Ovis aries: one gene and its partner. Each later gene encodes a partner of the first gene's protein in a complex. Links are inferred from orthologs where the notes say so. Each region holds a gene or a part of one and is shown on either strand. Other genes may lie near its edges.

What was found.
Region 2: BNIP1 (region 1) and BET1L share a complex: the UniProt entries of both Homo sapiens proteins name them as parts of the SNARE complex. The link is inferred for Ovis aries from reciprocal best matches to the Homo sapiens genes BNIP1 and BET1L.

The regions. Positions count from the first base shown.
Region 1 is NC_056069.1:5,002,688-5,010,937, forward strand, and holds the start of BNIP1 (vesicle transport protein SEC20), read left to right. Parts: upstream 1-4,000; 5' UTR 4,001-4,009; coding exon 4,010-4,093; intron 4,094-6,253; coding exon 6,254-6,346; intron 6,347-7,588; coding exon 7,589-7,680; intron 7,681-8,250. UniProt on the Homo sapiens protein: As part of a SNARE complex may be involved in endoplasmic reticulum membranes fusion and be required for the maintenance of endoplasmic reticulum organization. Also plays a role in apoptosis.
Region 2 is NC_056074.1:47,476,551-47,484,637, forward strand, and holds BET1L (BET1-like protein), read left to right. Parts: upstream 1-3,210; 5' UTR 3,211-3,276; coding exon 3,277-3,295; intron 3,296-4,429; coding exon 4,430-4,521; intron 4,522-4,761; coding exon 4,762-4,818; intron 4,819-4,947; coding exon 4,948-5,115; 3' UTR 5,116-6,201; downstream 6,202-8,087. Other genes in the region: RIC8A (synembryn-A), read right to left, coding at 362-952, 1,038-1,085, 1,379-1,462. UniProt on the Homo sapiens protein: Vesicle SNARE required for targeting and fusion of retrograde transport vesicles with the Golgi complex. Required for the integrity of the Golgi complex.

The DNA of each region.
Region 1 (8,250 bases):
ACTCTTGGTAGTTCAGAACATGGTTTATCCTTATCTCTTCCCCTTGATTCTTTGGCCAGGTGAGTTCTCTGAGGGAAATAAAGTATTTTGAGTCTTTCCTGACTTAAGCTTTGTATGTGTGTTTCATAATTCTCAGTAAATCTCCAAGCTTGGCTGGGCGTGTACATAGAACCATTAAATCAGTGGACCTGAGTGAACTTCACTGCAGCAATGTTCCTTCGGCCAACAGACATTCGTTTAGCAGTTACTCTGTAAAGACTTGTGCGCTAGGTACTGGCTGGGAGGAAGTTAAAGAGACCTCCAGGAATATATTCAGTTTGCTGAGGGAGGCCACATGGTCTGAACAGAACCACAGAACACAAGAGCTTTACACACACAAAGCGTTCTAGGCACATCACTACAGAGGACATTACCTCAAGGACACTGGTACCACATCCAGTGGGGGCTAAGAGAATTGACAGGCTGTGTTCATGATATCCCTGGTCCCTTGAAGAAGCCCTTTTCGTTTCATTTGAGTGATAGGCAGTCAGGAAGCAGAGTGGACATAGCCTCTCATGGACTGGTTCTGCTTGAGGACTTAACGTCACAGGAGCCTCTGTCGAGGTCTGGGAATTTGAAGGAGCTGGGTGAGGTGAGCCCTTCAGGTAGAGCTCTTAGGAAACTGAACCTTCTGTGGGTAGCATGCAGTGAGATGGGTGGTTCAGTTGTCCCTCCTTGCCGACACTGATTTCAGAACCAGGAGAACACCTTAGCCAGAGAGAAAAACATTAGTTCAGAATTACTTTCATGTCCAAACTGAAAGGTTCAGAATAGGAAGAAAGCATTAGAAAGCCCTGGAAGGCTAGGGTGGCATTTGTTAAGCCCCTGCTAGGTGCTTTTACATCAGGGAAGTCAGCTGCTGCATTCTGTGACCCAGTCAGGTAGATAATCATGTCCATTTTACAGAAGAGTCAGACTAGACCTAGACTTGTGTGGAGTCACCCCAGACCCAACTTACCTGGTACAGAACTCTCAATTCAGATGGCAGTCTGCGCGCAGCACTCAAGAGGCCGTGCATACTCTCCTGTAAGCGGCCAGGCAAGTCATAGGCCGTATTTGGGTGGTTTTCTATGCAGGAGGGAGACAGTGCGCTTAGGATTTGAAAACCAGAAAGAATTAAAGCCAAAACCTAGTAGATGTAGTAGCCAAAAGCTAGTCAGGATTAGAAGGTACAGATGATGAGAGCAAAAGAGCATTGACAGTAGTCGGTGATGGGAGTGCAGGTCACCAAACTCTACCTATCCTTCAAAGATGGTCTCTAGCTAAAGTGCTTAGAACTGAGTCTTTTTTATTAGAAGGGAGTGTGCTGGAGCAGGGAGAAAAGAGCTATGTTGTTTCCTTCTGTGACTGCCCCTTGGAGATGCAGTTGGCCACCGTTGGCTGAAGAGGAATTTCCAGCAAGAAGCATGATGGGAAAGGGGTCCAAGATCACGTGGGCCCATCTACTACGTGCAGACTTCGGCTTTCTTCACTGTCTTGAATAGGGAACTTCTACTTGAGAATCCAGAACGTTTGAGTGACTTGAAGAACATCAACCTCAGTTTCTTTTAAGGGTTTTAATCTTAAGATGTTGCCAAGAATGAACCTAACAGAAAATGTTCAAGCTCTATGGAAAACATTAAAATACTACGAATGACCCAGAAGAAGACTGGAACAAACGGGAAGATAGACCAAGTTGTTAAACAGGAGCAGTCAATGGCGTCAGTCTTCCAAAGTTAAAGTAACGATTTAGTGCCATCCCAGTGAGACATACCAATACAATTACAGTTAAGTTCACATGGAGAAAAAAATGGGGTGCCTGATCCTAATGTTAAAGCACATTAAACTGTAATAATAAAGCTGTCATTATGGTGCATGAATGAGTAGTAGGTCAAGAGAATATAATGGAAAGTGTAGATGTAAGAATTTATATGGTAAATACAGCATCTGAAACCAGTGAGAAAAAGATGGATTGTTCAGAAAATAGTGATGGAACAACTGGGTACTCCTCTGGAGGAGGTAAACTTGGCTCTATATTTCACACCATAAGCCAACACATAACTTCAAAGTGGTTAAAGATTCTAAATGCAAAAAAATTCAAATAAAACTCCTTTAAGGCCCCAAATACCGTAAGCCAAGTCAAAATTCTACTGACTAAGATAAAGCTCATCTCTCAGGGCAAATCCTCCTAGTATGTAAATAGCTCTGGGAGCTGATCCAAAAATACCAACAACCTAATAGAAAAATGAACAGATAGTAAAAGAAAAACAGTTTTCAGTTCATGATAAGAGAAATGAAAATTAAAAGATGGCACTTTTCACTTAAATAGATTGGCAAAAATCTTAGTGCTTGTAAAGACACTGTGTACAAGGCTGTGAGGAAGCAGGCATTAGTACCGCATTGCTTGTGGGAGTGTACATTGATACCTCTCTGAAAAGCAATTCGGTAGCATGTATCCAAATTTTAAAATGCATCTGTCCTTTGACCTAGCAATTCCATTTGGGCTGGGCAAGTCATTAGTCTCTCTCTGCCTGTCTCCTTATCTGTAAGAAGTGGATGGTTCTACCTCACAGGATTGCTGTGAGAGTTACATTAGAATGATGCACATACAGCACTTAGTGGCTGGCACAAGGGAAGTGCTTCAGAAATGCCAGTGCCACAGTAAGGGCAGTCGTGTGCGTTGCCTTCTCCCCATGCTCCATGCTACTACAGTGTGCTTGGTGCTTTTTTGTATTGCCTCATTTAGCCCTCCAGTCAATGCTAGGATTGCCGGCAGTGAGCCTCTGAGGAGACTGAGGCACAGAGAGATGAAGTGGGTGGTCAAGCAGGATTCAAGCCAGGGCAGATGCCCAAGATGCGTTGCCCAGCCAGTCTATTAGATGCAGTGGTGTGATGAACGCTTCAAGGGAGGGTGTTCTCTCCAGGACTAGACTTCCAAAAAGAGCTTGAAGAATCCAGGAAGGAGACAGGGCTGGTGGGGTGATTGATGCCCTTGAGATCCAGCTAAGAAACTTGGACTAGTTAATAATAATAATACAATGAAAGAGTCTCCATCTGTTGAGGGTGTGCTCTTAAGTATTTCCATTAAGTAATTTAAGGCTTCCCTGGTGGCTCTAAAGACGGTAAAGAATCTGCAATGTGGGAGACCCAGGTTCAATCCCTGGGTCGGGAAGATCTGCCTGGAAAAGGAAATGGCTACCACTCCAGTATTCTTGCCTGGAAAATCCCATGGGCAGAGGAGGGTTACATCCCTGCCAGGTTACAGTCAGTCCATGGAGTCACAGGACTAAGTGACTCACTTTTGTTTCCATTAAAAACTACATTAATCCGTCAAAACTACTCCAGCAAAGTATATTTATTAAAACCAATTGCACACAAAAGGGAAACGCCAGGAGTCAGAGAAGGGGTGTAAGTTGGAATGTGACTTGATCAGTTGGGCATTTTAGAAAGATCCCTCCAACCGTGGGCTGAACTGACAGGAGTTGTTAACCCTAGCAAACTACCTTGAATTTCATACATTAAAAAAAATAATGATAACATTTGTCATTTTCTTCTTTCACCCTACAACTTATTTTCACTGTAGAAAATATGAAAAATACAAGAAAGTGTAAAGGAGTATAAAAAATTGTTTAACTCCACCTTCCAGAGACATCCCAATGGATATTTTTTTCCAATCTTTTTCCCCTCTCTGTGCAAAAAATATGCAGTCATTAGAATGGCTGATGGGCAGAATATGGGGAGACGCCCCTGTTAAAGCGTCCTGACAATTCCCTCCTTTCTTTCTCTACGTCTTCTAGGTCCACCACAAGAGGCCGACTGATTTTTCCCACGTGTCAGGCAAAGGCCATAGGACTTGGCGCCACCACCCTCGCTCGCCTCAGGCCTGGTCTCTAGGGGGCGCTGCCGTAAGACCCGGAGGCTAAAAAGGAAACCGGTGCGAAAACGCGTTGGAACTTGGGCTCCGCGGCTTCCCGTAGCCGGCATTTCCAACATGGCTGCTGCCCAAGATGTCCACGTCCGTATCTGTAACCAAGAGATTGTCAAATTCGATCTGGAGGTGAAGGCGCTTATCCAGGTACTAATGCCCGGGGTCCCCGCCAGGGTCCAGAAGCCCTAAATCCCAGCTCAGCTGGCCTTCTGTGAGCTCAGCGGCCTTACTCCCGAGCTTTCCGCCCTTGGTCATGTCTCCGAGGCCACTGGCCCAGCTCCCTGCCCGCTACCCCTCAACTGTCTCGCCCCATGGCCCCTCCCCTGGATCGTTGGCTTTGGTATTCCGTCCGACTGCCGTTAGCTCGCCCTCTTCCAGGACACCCCGTCCTCTACCTCCACTCCTAACTGGGCTTCCCCTATGTGGCCGCTCCCCTACACACCCCTGGCCGTCACCTCGCCACCCCCCAGCCAGCCTCAAAACATACCTGTCATCCTGCCTGGCCCCGCCTTCTGATCCCGTCCTCCTCATGCTTCAGTAGCGTCCTGTGGGCCATCAGCCTCGCCCCCTGCTGGTCTGATGCCCCGTGGCACCAAAGGCCACCTGGCACAGGAGGTACTGGGTGAAATGAACGTGACCTAGACCGTAGTTGTGATTTTGTAAATGAGGAAGGAGTCTGCCTGAGCAGAAAGTAGATAATGGCAAAACTGGGACGCGGACAATGAAAGTCATCCTAGAAAAAATTCTTGGCGTCTACTTCGTTTAACTGATGGGGCGATTGAGATCCTTTGCCTAAGCCAATTAAGGGTAGAAGGTAATAGTTCAGTAAACCAGTTGGCATAGGCAAGAGTTGGGAATGTAGAAATAGTTCCTTTAGTTTATCAAAAAGAAACCAAGAGTTTTAAACCTTTCTTTTGGGCAAATGGTTTCCATTTCCAGCAGTGTTACTCAACCTTAGATGCTAAGTAAGAGTCTTCATCTAGCTGTGGTAAAAGGTGAAGGAAAGTAAGCTCCCTACGGAAATCAGGTGCAAAATAAACCAAATTAATAGCCGTTAAATGTTGCATGGAACTGTGATTTAATGAGTAATCCAGAGAACAAGAACAACTTGATACAAACATTTAAACTTTTTGAACTTCACCTTTCCCATGTATTAACTACAAAACATCTGGGCCAATTCTAGAAGAATTAATTTAGGATTCATAAAAAGGAAACTGGCTTTTCAGGTGATCTAAATTTCCTCAGCCCCATTTTGCACTCTCCAAGATTCACTTTCTCCTGAAGAGAACAATTGATTATAGCTAGATTTAGCACATCCTTACAGTGTGGCAACTCCTGCTAAGCCCTTTATGTGGGTACCTGGTTATGAAGTGGGTAATGATGGGTAAACAGACACAGAAGCTTCAGTAACTTTTTCAGGATTATACATCTGATAAATTGCTGCAACTAGAATTTGAATCCACATGGTCTGACTCTAGGGCCTACTTTTTACCTGGCCCTGGTAATTCTGAATGTCCAGAAACAAATTCGAAATCTACATTTGAACATGTCTGTAAACTGTGTGATTTATCATATTAATAGATGGTGTGTAAAATCAGTTCAAGCAGTTAAAGAGGTTCGTCTTGTCATATGCCGAGAATTTAGCATCCTCATTTTTAGGTTGGAAAGACCTGAAGTTATGGTGCCCTCTCAGGTGTTCGTTCTTGTCGGATATGCAAGCTGCTTTAAGTCTTTCATAATGGCTGGATGCTGTTCTGTTAAACATCAAGACTTATTAGTTCCTTAGTCCGTTTCTGGTTTTAAAAACGTGTTTATTAATTAATTTTTGGTTGCACTGAGTCTTCGCTGCTGCGCATGGGCTTTCGCTGACCGCACAAGCAGGGGCTACTCTTTGTTGCAGCGCATGCGCTTCTCATTGCTGCAGCTTCTCTTGTTCCGGAGCACAGGCTCTAGGCCCCGCAGGGCTTCGGTAGTTGCAGAGGCAGGCTCCGCAGCTGTGGTGTGCGGGCTTAGTTGCTCCGCAGCATCGGATTTCCTATCCACTGTACCACCAGGGAAGTCGCACTGTTGTCTTTCTGCTTATGCTTCTATGTTGCTCGCTCAGACTTGACTCCAAAGAGGGATGAAAAAAAAGTAAATTATAATGCTTCTGCTTGTGTTACAGAGGTAAACAGCAGAGATTAGGATGAATTACAGCCAGTAGGTCCAACTTAGTTGTGGTCTAAGCCAGCTCTCTCATTGTACAGCTGGTGTCATTTCCTCTCATTGCCTTGAGAAAGGCCCGTTCATCTCTTCAATGTCTCCTAGGATATTCGAGATTGTTCAGGACCATTAAGTGCACTTACCGAACTGAACACTAAAGTGAAAGAGAAGTTTCAGCAACTGCGGCACAGAATACAGGTGAGTGAGTGCGCAGCTGGGACGCTGCGCCTGGGGAAAGAAAAGAAAGTGCATTGGAGAGGTTTTGCATTGTGTTAAGTTAATGATTTGTTTAAAATCTAGATTCTTTAATGGAGCGTAAACTCAATGACAGCAGGCCTGTTCCTGGTGATCGCTGCGTATCCCTCATGATGGTACAGATTGAGCACCATCGTTGAGTGGAAGAATGGGTGTGTGGGAAGAAGGGAGGGAGGGAGGCAAGGTGGGGGAAATGGAAGTTCTGTCACAGAGAAGCAGAGAGAGTTCTAGAGGAAAAGAAAGTGAGGGCTGCTGCCCCTCACTGAGGTGGGTGGCTGTGTCCTGGGGTTTGATTATTTGGGGCTCTGAGTCTTTCTTTTCAGAAGGCCTTACCTGTGGGGCTTTCGTGCGACCTGGGTTGAATGTCTCTTCAGAGGTTTTTGCATTTGCTTTTGCCAGGTCTCCTGGGATTACCACAGGTCTGGGAGCACTTTTTATGTTTGTTTCTCCTTGTGGAGGTTCTTGAACCACTCAGGAAGGATGAACTTGGACCCTCGATCCATGTGAGGGGAGTGCCATGGTTATAATCGGGAGAGACATTTATATCCCTCTAGCCACGTCTCACAACAGAAAACTCCACAACTTCTCTGTGCTGGTTGACAGACGTTTTCCTAGCTCACCTTTTCACTGAGGGTATTTGTATCCCTTTGTGCTCCTGGCTTTGCAGTGGTCTCAGTTCCAGTTCCCAGCTTCAGGTGGCCAAAGCTTTGTTTTCTGTCCCCACATGGACTTGAAAGCCGTGTTTGCCATTCAGTCTGAAATATGTACCAAGACTGAGAGCCTGTAGAAACAAATAGCAGTGTGTTATTTCCATCATATCTCAGAGTGGGATCAGTAGGCTCCTATGTTACTGTAGTTTTTTCCCTTTTCCTTTCAGGCACGTCCTGGACCGCAGGAACGCAGGAACGCATCCCCTGCTCCAGGGCAGCCTCACACCCCTCACAGGAAGGCTGCTCTGACTCATAGTTTCTTTCTCATTTTGAGTTCTTGAGGATGGTCCTTTCTTTCTTTTTAGACAGCTTTCTATGTAAAAGGATGTTTGTTGTGTATGAACCAGCATTCCTGAGTCTTCTGTTCTAGGAGGGTTTTCAAGTGCTGTTGCATAACTGGTAGAAATAGAAGTGCTTTCCAGTTTTTCATTACCTTTCAAAATCATTTTAACTTAGAGCTGATTTCCTCCCAAAGGAGCTTGAGCAGTCGGCTAAAGAGCAAGACAAAGAGTCAGAGAAGCAAGTTCTGCTCCAAGAAGTGGAGAATCACAAAAAGCAGATGCTCAGGTGGGTGGGGCCTGGCCTCCGGCCAGTGGCCTCCGCTGGGCCCCCTGCTCCCGGTGAGGCTTGTGCCTGAGTTTGCCTAATAAACCTGCTGAAGCTAGGGGGTAAGCCGGGGCTCTTTGGTAGCTGGGACTGTGTATAGTGTACAAAAGCATATTTAACATTATGCTGTATTTTATATTTTTTTAAAAGCAAAAAATTCGTTGCTTTTGTAATATAGGGTCCTTTTTAATCTAAAGAGAATTGATAGCAGAAAAAGTCCACCAAAGGTGCCAAAATGATTGGGGACCACTGGTGTAAAGAACAGCAAACCTTGAAGAAATATTGAATAAAACTGTCTTATACTGATTTTTCTACTTCTTACTGCCTATATTGATGGAGCAGCTAATGGGTCAATAACTGTTGTCCTGGGTACTGGTGAAACAAAGATGAACAAGGCATAGTTCTCCAGGAGCAGAACCAAGCCACGCCGCGGGCAGAACAGTAATGTGTAGGAGATGACTTTGAACGGGGCCGCGTGCGCCCAGCTGGGCAGTTTGGCTGTTTCCCTTTAGTGGAGCCATTGCAGGCTGT
Region 2 (8,087 bases), on another chromosome or scaffold:
ACTGCACACCCTGGTGCTTGTCCTCTCCCAGGAGACCTCAAGAGAACTCTCGGTTAAGAAAATCAATGGATCCCCTTGGCACACAGCTGCTCTGTGCTTCAGCCCCACTCAGTCTCACCACGAAGAATCTCACAGCCTCCCCTGCACACCACACAGCCCTCCAGCCAGGCTGCAAGAGCCAGTTATGCTCTCCAACTCCCTCAGAAAACTTCCTTGAGACCGGTCCAAGATAGGTGTTCCCTGCTTCTCTCGACTGGCTAAGCACACCTAATCCAGAAATTTGAAGGAACCCAGCAAAGCAGCATGTGCAGGAAATGTCCAAGCTGTTAAACCCCACCCACAGGTTGAGGTCCGCCCTCACCTCATCCACCTCCCTCTTGATGGAGTCGAAGGTGATGTTGAAAAGCACTTTGAGGATCTCCATGGCTCGCTCAGTCTCCTGGGGAGGCAGGAGCTCAGGGTGCCTCTCGCCCTCAGTCATTCCCAACGTCAGCTCCAGCGCCCTGGTCAGCAGGCGCACTCCCTGCAGCTCCTGAAACAGCTGCTGGCGCACGTCGGTGCGGAGTGCAGTTAGCAAGAACAGAAGACGCAAGTCAAAGAACTGGACGTCGTGCGGGAAGCTACTCCGGCTGTGCAGTCCGACGCGCTCTGCGAGCCTCACCACTAGCCCCGCCTCTGCTGCCAGGACCTGTGCCCCGGGGCTGCTTAGCACGAGGTTGCACAGGCACTTAAGGGACTCGAGTACGACATCCACGTTCAGCGGCTCAGGGACCGACCCTTGGGAGGCGGAGATGCCAGCATAGCAGGCAAGAGCCTGCAGGCTCCGGCGACTGGTGAAGGAGTCCAGGCAGCTGCGGTCCCTGGACAAGATGCGGATGCTCTGCAGCCAGATAACGCGGCGGGAGGGTGGCAGGCCCTGCTCCAGGACCGAGACAAGCAGCTTCGCCAGTCTCTGCGGGCAGGGAGAAGAGCCGTTCCACCAGGCCCTTCTACCTGGGCCACCCAATCACGCCCCTCCACCTCCGGTGAGCACCCACCTTCCTATCCTCCTGTTGCGCATCATCAAACGTGAAACTCTGGGAGTTCTGCAAAGAAACCCAGAGGCTAGAAGGCACAGGCCTACCGCGTCAGAACCCGGGTTCCGCGGATGGGGGCCTGAGGCCGAAGGCACCTCTATGAACAAATGGCGCCCCAGCCCCACACACCGGCACCCTCGCAACTCCTCAGAGAGTCGGTGCTCCTCCCCATCGCTCTCCCTTCCACCCTCAGCCCCTTGCCACGCTCACCGCTCTCGCCGCCCCTCCAGCCGGCCACGCGCGCGGGCCCCACCCGGCCCCACCTCCTCTCTGCACGTCCCAAGTCTACAACTCCCGCTCACCTCCCGGTTGTACGCGCGCAAAGCTTCCATAACCACGTCCTCCTCCCCCGTCTCCAAGGCATCCGCAACTGCACGGGGCTCCATGGCACCTCCAGGACCCGATGCCAGGAAGGCCGGAGGCTCCCGGCTTCGCGATTCCGGGCAAGCGTCTGCCCGCCCCGCCCAGGCTCGGCGCGCGGGGGAGGCCGGGACGGGGCGTGCGCGGCGCCGTGGGGCGGGGCCTGGGTTGCGCGCAGGGGAGGCCGGGACCGGGCGGGCGCCGAGCTCTCTGGGTTGCGTGGAGCCTTAAAGGGGCGGGGCCTGGGCTGCGCGCGTGGGAGGCCGGGACGGGGCGTGCGCGGCGCCGTGGGGCGGGGCCTGGGTTGCGCGCAGGGGAGGCCGGGACCCGGCGGGCGCAGAGCTCTCTGGTCTGTGTGGCGCCTTAAAGGGGCGAGGCCTGGAACAGCTGGATAGAACTTGAAGACTTTGCTGCCGAGTCAGCTTTGGCCTTAAACTCCGGCTCGGTGATCGTCCGACTTATGGGCCAGAATCGCCCTGAACCGAGCAGTGAGCCTCACTCCTTGGGCTAGGATTCCTGACAGGAGAGGGCCTCAGCCCCGCACCCCTCCATCACACGCACACCAACACCGCTCTTGATGCACAGAACGAATGAAACGTCCAGGGAAAAGTCGAGGTGGAAAGGAGTTTACAACCTCCGGACCACTTGGTTTCTAAACAGATGTTTGAGTGCCTACTGCACGCGAGGAGCCGGGATGCGGGTGAATAGAACCCACAGGTTCCTGCCTTCTTGGCGCTTATGTGCCGGATGTGAAGACTAAAACGGGCAAACAAGACGACGTTAGGCAGCTATAGTGCTGTGATTGAATAACAAAAGGGGCTTGATGGGCTGCAAGGAGATCTGAAGAAGTGCCAGTCAGTTTTTGCTGAGACCGGAGCCTAGGGAGTGAGCCAGGAAAGGCTCCGAAGGAAGGTTCTGCAAGGCAGGAGTGGCCAGTGCGAGGGTGGGAATGGCCGTGGAGGGAGAGAGAAACATCACTGTTGGAGCTGAGAGAAAAGAGAGACGGGGTCGGGGTGGGGGGAAGGTCAGGAGGAAGACAAAGTCTGACTGTGTGCGGTGACTTCCCTGCTGTGTAAGCAGGCACACCTGCTCGTCTGCTTGGGCTGTTTCCTTTTTTGAAAAGCAGAGACGATACAAGTTTCCATTTCAGTGGATTGTCGAGTACATGGCACAGCAATTGCTCCATTACGGGGGGTGGGTAACTTATAACCCATCCACCGGGCAAGAAGGCTTTGTTAAGCATCTACTTTGTCAGGCCCCTTGTCAGCACCGCGTGCAAGGTCAAAAAGCGCTGGCTCCTCCCGTACCCACTCCCCTCACGCTCCCACCCCTCTTCCTGGTTCCTTGTTTTCTTCAGAGGGCTTCACTCCTGCGACTTCTGCACCGCTCGCTCGTTCCAGGCACTGATCTCGTTTGTCCTGCCGGCAGTAACTGGAACCGGGCTTCCCATCGAGTTCGCTCCGGGCCTCAACCCCGGCGGGGTCGCGGCGAGGAGCCTCTTTGGCCCGGGAAAGGCCCGTGTGCTCTTCCCAGTTAGGACCCCGACACCGCCTTAGGCGGGAATGGCTGCTGGAGTGTCTGTGGGCACCATAGTTGCCTCTAAAACCACAAATCATCCAGGAGTCCCGAGAGCAAACGCCAGCCCCATCCCCAAGTCAAACGACGGAAGAAACGTCAGATTCTTCCCGTTCCCACCGCCGAGTCTGTCGGCCAGATCTCGGCCGGAAGTGGGGGGCCTGAGGCGGAAGGGGTGGGGCCGGAAGCCCCTTCCGGCGACTGCGCCACGTCCGAGGAGGCTGTAATCAAGCGGTGACGGACCCTGGGGTCGGAGCTGGACGCGATGGCGGACTGGGCTCGGGGTGAGCGCGGAAGGGCGGAGGCGGATGGCTACGGGGCTCGCCGGGGCCGACTCCGCTGCTCTTAGGAACCGCCTTCGCCTTTCTCCGCGGCACTAGGTGGCGTTGTTGGCAAGACACTGCGGGCGGGCGTAGTTTGGGCAGGGCGGCCAGGGTGCAGCCCGCCGCGCTGTGGATGAGTCGCTGGGTCCCTTTGGGCGCTCCTGCCCAGCTGCTGCGTGAAACTGCGGGGTCCGGATGCCCGCAGTCCCCACCCGTTTCGTCCCTGGGAGATGACTCTGCACGGGACCTCGGCCGGGTCTCCTGGTTGACGGGTCCCTGAGGCTAGACCCCCTCGGAGTGAGAGCTGCGCGTGATAGGAGGGCCCAAGCATGCCTAGTACCCCACTTGCCTTCTGGGAGTCTCTCTTCACCTGCGAAGTGGGATGCTGATGCTTGTTTCGCTGGGCTGTTGTGACTTTTAAGGAGTTAAGGGTACAGTCGGTCGGTAGGACCTTTACACCTCTTATTTTGGGGTTTGTAAGAAGCCATGGTTCCTAGACTGTGCCCGCTTTTGATGAGTCTCCTTGAGGCATCGGGCTCGAGGCAAATGCGCACTCTGAACTTTGTGGGAAACAGTTCTCACCAGCCTGGTAGGGTGGTAATTCTGAATCACCAGGCCCAGCGCCTGTCTCGGGCCAGTTCTCAGCGGGTACCAGGCTCTGGGTGACACACAAGACCCTGTGTGGGATCAGTCTCAAGCCCTGTAAGTCTTACCAGAGCTCATTGGGGTTTATTTTGAGAACAGGTTCTGTGTACCTTGCTAGTGACACCTGCGGAGGGATGGTACAAGTTCCGTCACAGAATGTCTGAAAGTACTGGTTGAACTGAGCCCTTTGGAGGTGCCCGCCCACCCATCCCAGCCTGGATACATGCACAGGACCTGTGCTCACACTGTTGTTTATACAGTCCTCCTCATGTGTGAAGTTGGATCCTGGGTGAGGGTGGGGCCTGCTCAGCAGACACACAGAGGCCGGGTCCCCTTAGATGCCTGACTGGGCCAGATGGGATTGGAGGCCGGAGGCCACAAAGGGCCGAGATTATAGGGGTCACGGTTCATGAGCGGAGTCATGCTTTCAGCCTCTCTCTCTCCTCACAGCTCAGAGCCCTGGTGCTGTGGAGGAGATTCTAGACCGAGAAAACAAGCGGATGGCTGACAGCTTGGCCTCCAAGGTCACCAGGCTCAAATCGGTCAGTGGTGGTCCTCTCCTTTTGCCTCCACCTGGCATCTGGAGGGGGTGGTCAGCGGGCAGTAAAGACCTGGATGGGTTTCAGGTAGTTCCGTTCTCCTTGTCCCACCTGTGGCATACTCATCTGTGCGAGGCCCAGGTGGCATTTGGATCTTCTGATCTCTGTTGATCTTGTTGGGGGTCAGGTGCTGTTCACTGTGTTTGTCCCGGTCTGACCCTGCCCCCTCTGTGTCCTGACCAGCTGGCTCTGGACATCGATAGGGATGCGGAGGACCAGAACCGGTACCTGGACGGCATGGTAAGGGCCTGCGGTTTGCAAGCGTCACGGTCAGCTCAGCTCCCCACCACCTGCTTTGCAGCCCCCATCTGTGTGTGTGTGTTGCAGAGTCACTGTCCCTTTGTGACAATGTTGGAATTTCTCCCTCAGGACTCAGATTTCACAAGTATGACGGGTCTACTCACAGGGAGTGTGAAGCGGTTTTCCACAATGGCGCGATCTGGGCGAGACAACCGGAAGCTTCTTTGTGGTATGGCTGTGGGCCTGATTGTGGCCTTCTTCATCCTCTCCTACCTCCTGTCGAGGGCAAGGACGTGAGCCAATGGGAACTGGCTTCTGTGGGTGCCTGGGGCAACCAGGATTTTCCTCTGTCTGGTGTTTTGGGCTCCAGAGAACTTGTTTTCAAAATACTCCTTTGAAATGAGGATCATGGCTTAGGAATGTTTTTTCTGCGTGGTTGGGAGCCTCTAACCCAGTGAGCTCTTGTTAGCTGGTTCTATGTGTGCAAGGGCCCTATCCCTGTGGGGTAGCCTAGGCCCAGCTCCCTCTGCCACCTTGAGCTCTAGAAGCCCCAGCAGTGTTGGGTCCAAGCAGAGCATCTGGGAATCCTGGACACGGCCGCCTGTGAGCAGCAGTCCTTTCATCGGCCCTTGAGGTTCTGAGCATCTCAAGGCTTCTCTGCGCTGTCTTGGTCTGGATGAGGCTGTGTCTGATGTTTGAGCTGCCTGGAGCTGACACAGGAAGGGGGTGTGGCTGTGAAGCTCAAATCACTGCTGTCACCTCCAACTGAGTGTCCTCAGCCCGGAGACTGCAGTTTCTCTGGCCAGGGCTGCTGGTCATCCATGACCCGGAGAGATTCAAAGGTCCTGCTGAGTGGCCTCTTCCTGCCCTCCAGTCCCGCGACTGAAACCAGGCCCTCGGGGATGGGCAGGGGGTGTGGGTGGAGGAAGGGACTGCAGCGCAGGCTGAGGACTTGGGGCCCAAGGCCTGCAGTTTCCCAGCCGTGTGTCCAGGAGCAGAAGCCGATGTTCTCACGGGATTCAGGATCTGCCCAGCACCAGAGGCCTGCTTCCCGGAGACTAGACCTCTGGAGACATGTCCGTCTGACGCTTCAGAGTCAGGCCCGGTGTGAGGCGGGGCTTTTGTCGGTGTACGCGGGAGGTTTCTGGATAGTGACTTTTCTTAGGAACTGTAGGGCACTTTTTGAGGGTTTGTGGGCAGTTTCCACTAAGCTAACCCTAACCTGCAATGTCTGCCCACCTCTCCCTGGGCCCTCAGTGTCCACTCGGTCAGTCCCCTGCTCCTATGGACTGAACTAACAGGCCCAGCCAAACCAGTGGCTTCGTTGTACCTCCCTGTGAGTCCCCGGTGTCCTCGTCTTCCCATAAAAAACGCTTGTAAGAAGTCGTTGGCTCTGTGTCTTTCCTGGTTCCTGTTCCCATCTTCTTGGGTACGCTCCTCACTCTGACCGTCCAGCTGCCCGCACACTCGTGCCGCGTGTGGGGCATCCGCTCCTCTCGCCACCTTGCCCTCTCCTCTGCCCGTGCGGACCTCGCCTTCTGGCCCTGGCACTCTGCCGCTCCTCTTCCTCTCCCTGGTTCCCTGCCCAGCAGGCCCGGCCTCTCCTCAGACGCTTGCCATGGAGCCCTTTTCTCTCTGCTGCACTTGGCTGGGCCCTTGGCCTCCTGAGTGTTCTGCCTGACGGTCACCATTCCTCCAGTGCGTGCTGCTCACACAGTAAGGTTGGCCTGCTTGCCTCTGTGTCCCTGGGGCTTGGGTTTATCTCTGTCCTCCTTGACATCCCTGCACAGGACCCTGTGGCCGTGCCTTGACCCCCGTTTTGTGTACCACGGCTTTGACTTCGCCCTCTGCCCTCTCACAGTGAACCTAGTCACAGGGACTTGTCCACTGGTCACCAGGCTCAAAGCTGCTACCCATAGAGTGTCTTCATCTGGTCACTGCAGGCACAGCAGATACCCCCAGACCTGAACTCCGTGGCCCCTGCCTTTTCTGGGCCTGCTAACCTTGCTTCCTGAGAAAGTGGCTCAGCCAGGGCAGCCCTCCTCAACTGCCCCGCTCCAAAGCAGACCAGGAATTTGGAGTTCGTGTTTCAGGGTGGTCTTTTCTGAGGAAAGTGAAAGTTGTTCAGTCGTGTCCGACTGTTTGTGACCCCATGGACTGTAGTTCATGGAATTCTCCAAACAAGAATACTGGAGTGGGTAGCCTTTCCCTTCTCCAGGGAGTCTTTCCATCCCAGGGAACGAACCCAGCTCTCCTGCACTGCAGCCAGGGTCTCTACCGACTGGGCTGTCGGTGAAGTCCCTTCTCTGAGGAGGACTTCGCCATCTCTGCTGTGTGGTTTGCCTCAGGTTGCCGTCTGTGCCTCCCTGCTTCTCCATCTCTGTGACTCTGTAGCCTTCCCAGCTATTCGGGGTCTGGGTGTTTGTTTGTCATTGTGTTAGATGAACAGCTGAAGCGGGCATGGAGCTCTGCTGTGCTGTGTCAGGAGGGTTTCCTGTGGGGCCTTCACCCTTCTCAGCCCTGTACACTGAGCGCCTAGTCCTGTGGGTGAGTGGGGTTTGCTGACGTTGAGCCCGAGACTATAAAGCAGAGAAGGACTTGAGGACCTTTGGGGTCACGTGTGGACAGACAGCCAGGCTCTATCCCTTAAGTCAAAGACAAGGCATTTAGCAAGAAAAACTCGAAATAAACAGCATCAAAGTAAACATGGCCTTTGGTGTTTCCATTTCTGTGGGGGCTTCAGAAAGGTTTGTCTGGAACTGACCGTGATCTACAAGCTGGCCACAGGCACTGGTGGTCTTGACTCTGCTGCTCACACATCCCCCTGGACAAGCAGATGTGGGCTTGACAGTTCCTGCTCCTGGACCTTTGTTTGCCCAGGTTCCTGTGACTCAGATGGAAAGATGATAGCATTACTGCGTCAGGATTGGGGGAATATATGTGAGTACTTAGAACAAGTAGCCTGACACAGTCACAGCTCAGTGAGGGCCAGCAGTTGTCATGTCCTTCGTATAGCTGCCGGCACAGGTGCAACAGGGCTGCCTGCTCAGGGCTGGGGTGAAGATCAGAATCATTCCTCAAGGCTGGCCCTGGACTCCAGGGTGCCCTCTGGAAACACCTCTCTTCATCCCCGCTCAGACACCCCTCCCTGCCCACACCCTGCTGTGCTCCTGGGCTTGATGCATAGCAGACCACCTTCAGGTGTCGCCACAGGGGACTCTGTCTCATGGGGACCCCTTGTGTTTGAGACAGAGATGGTTCTCTCTGCG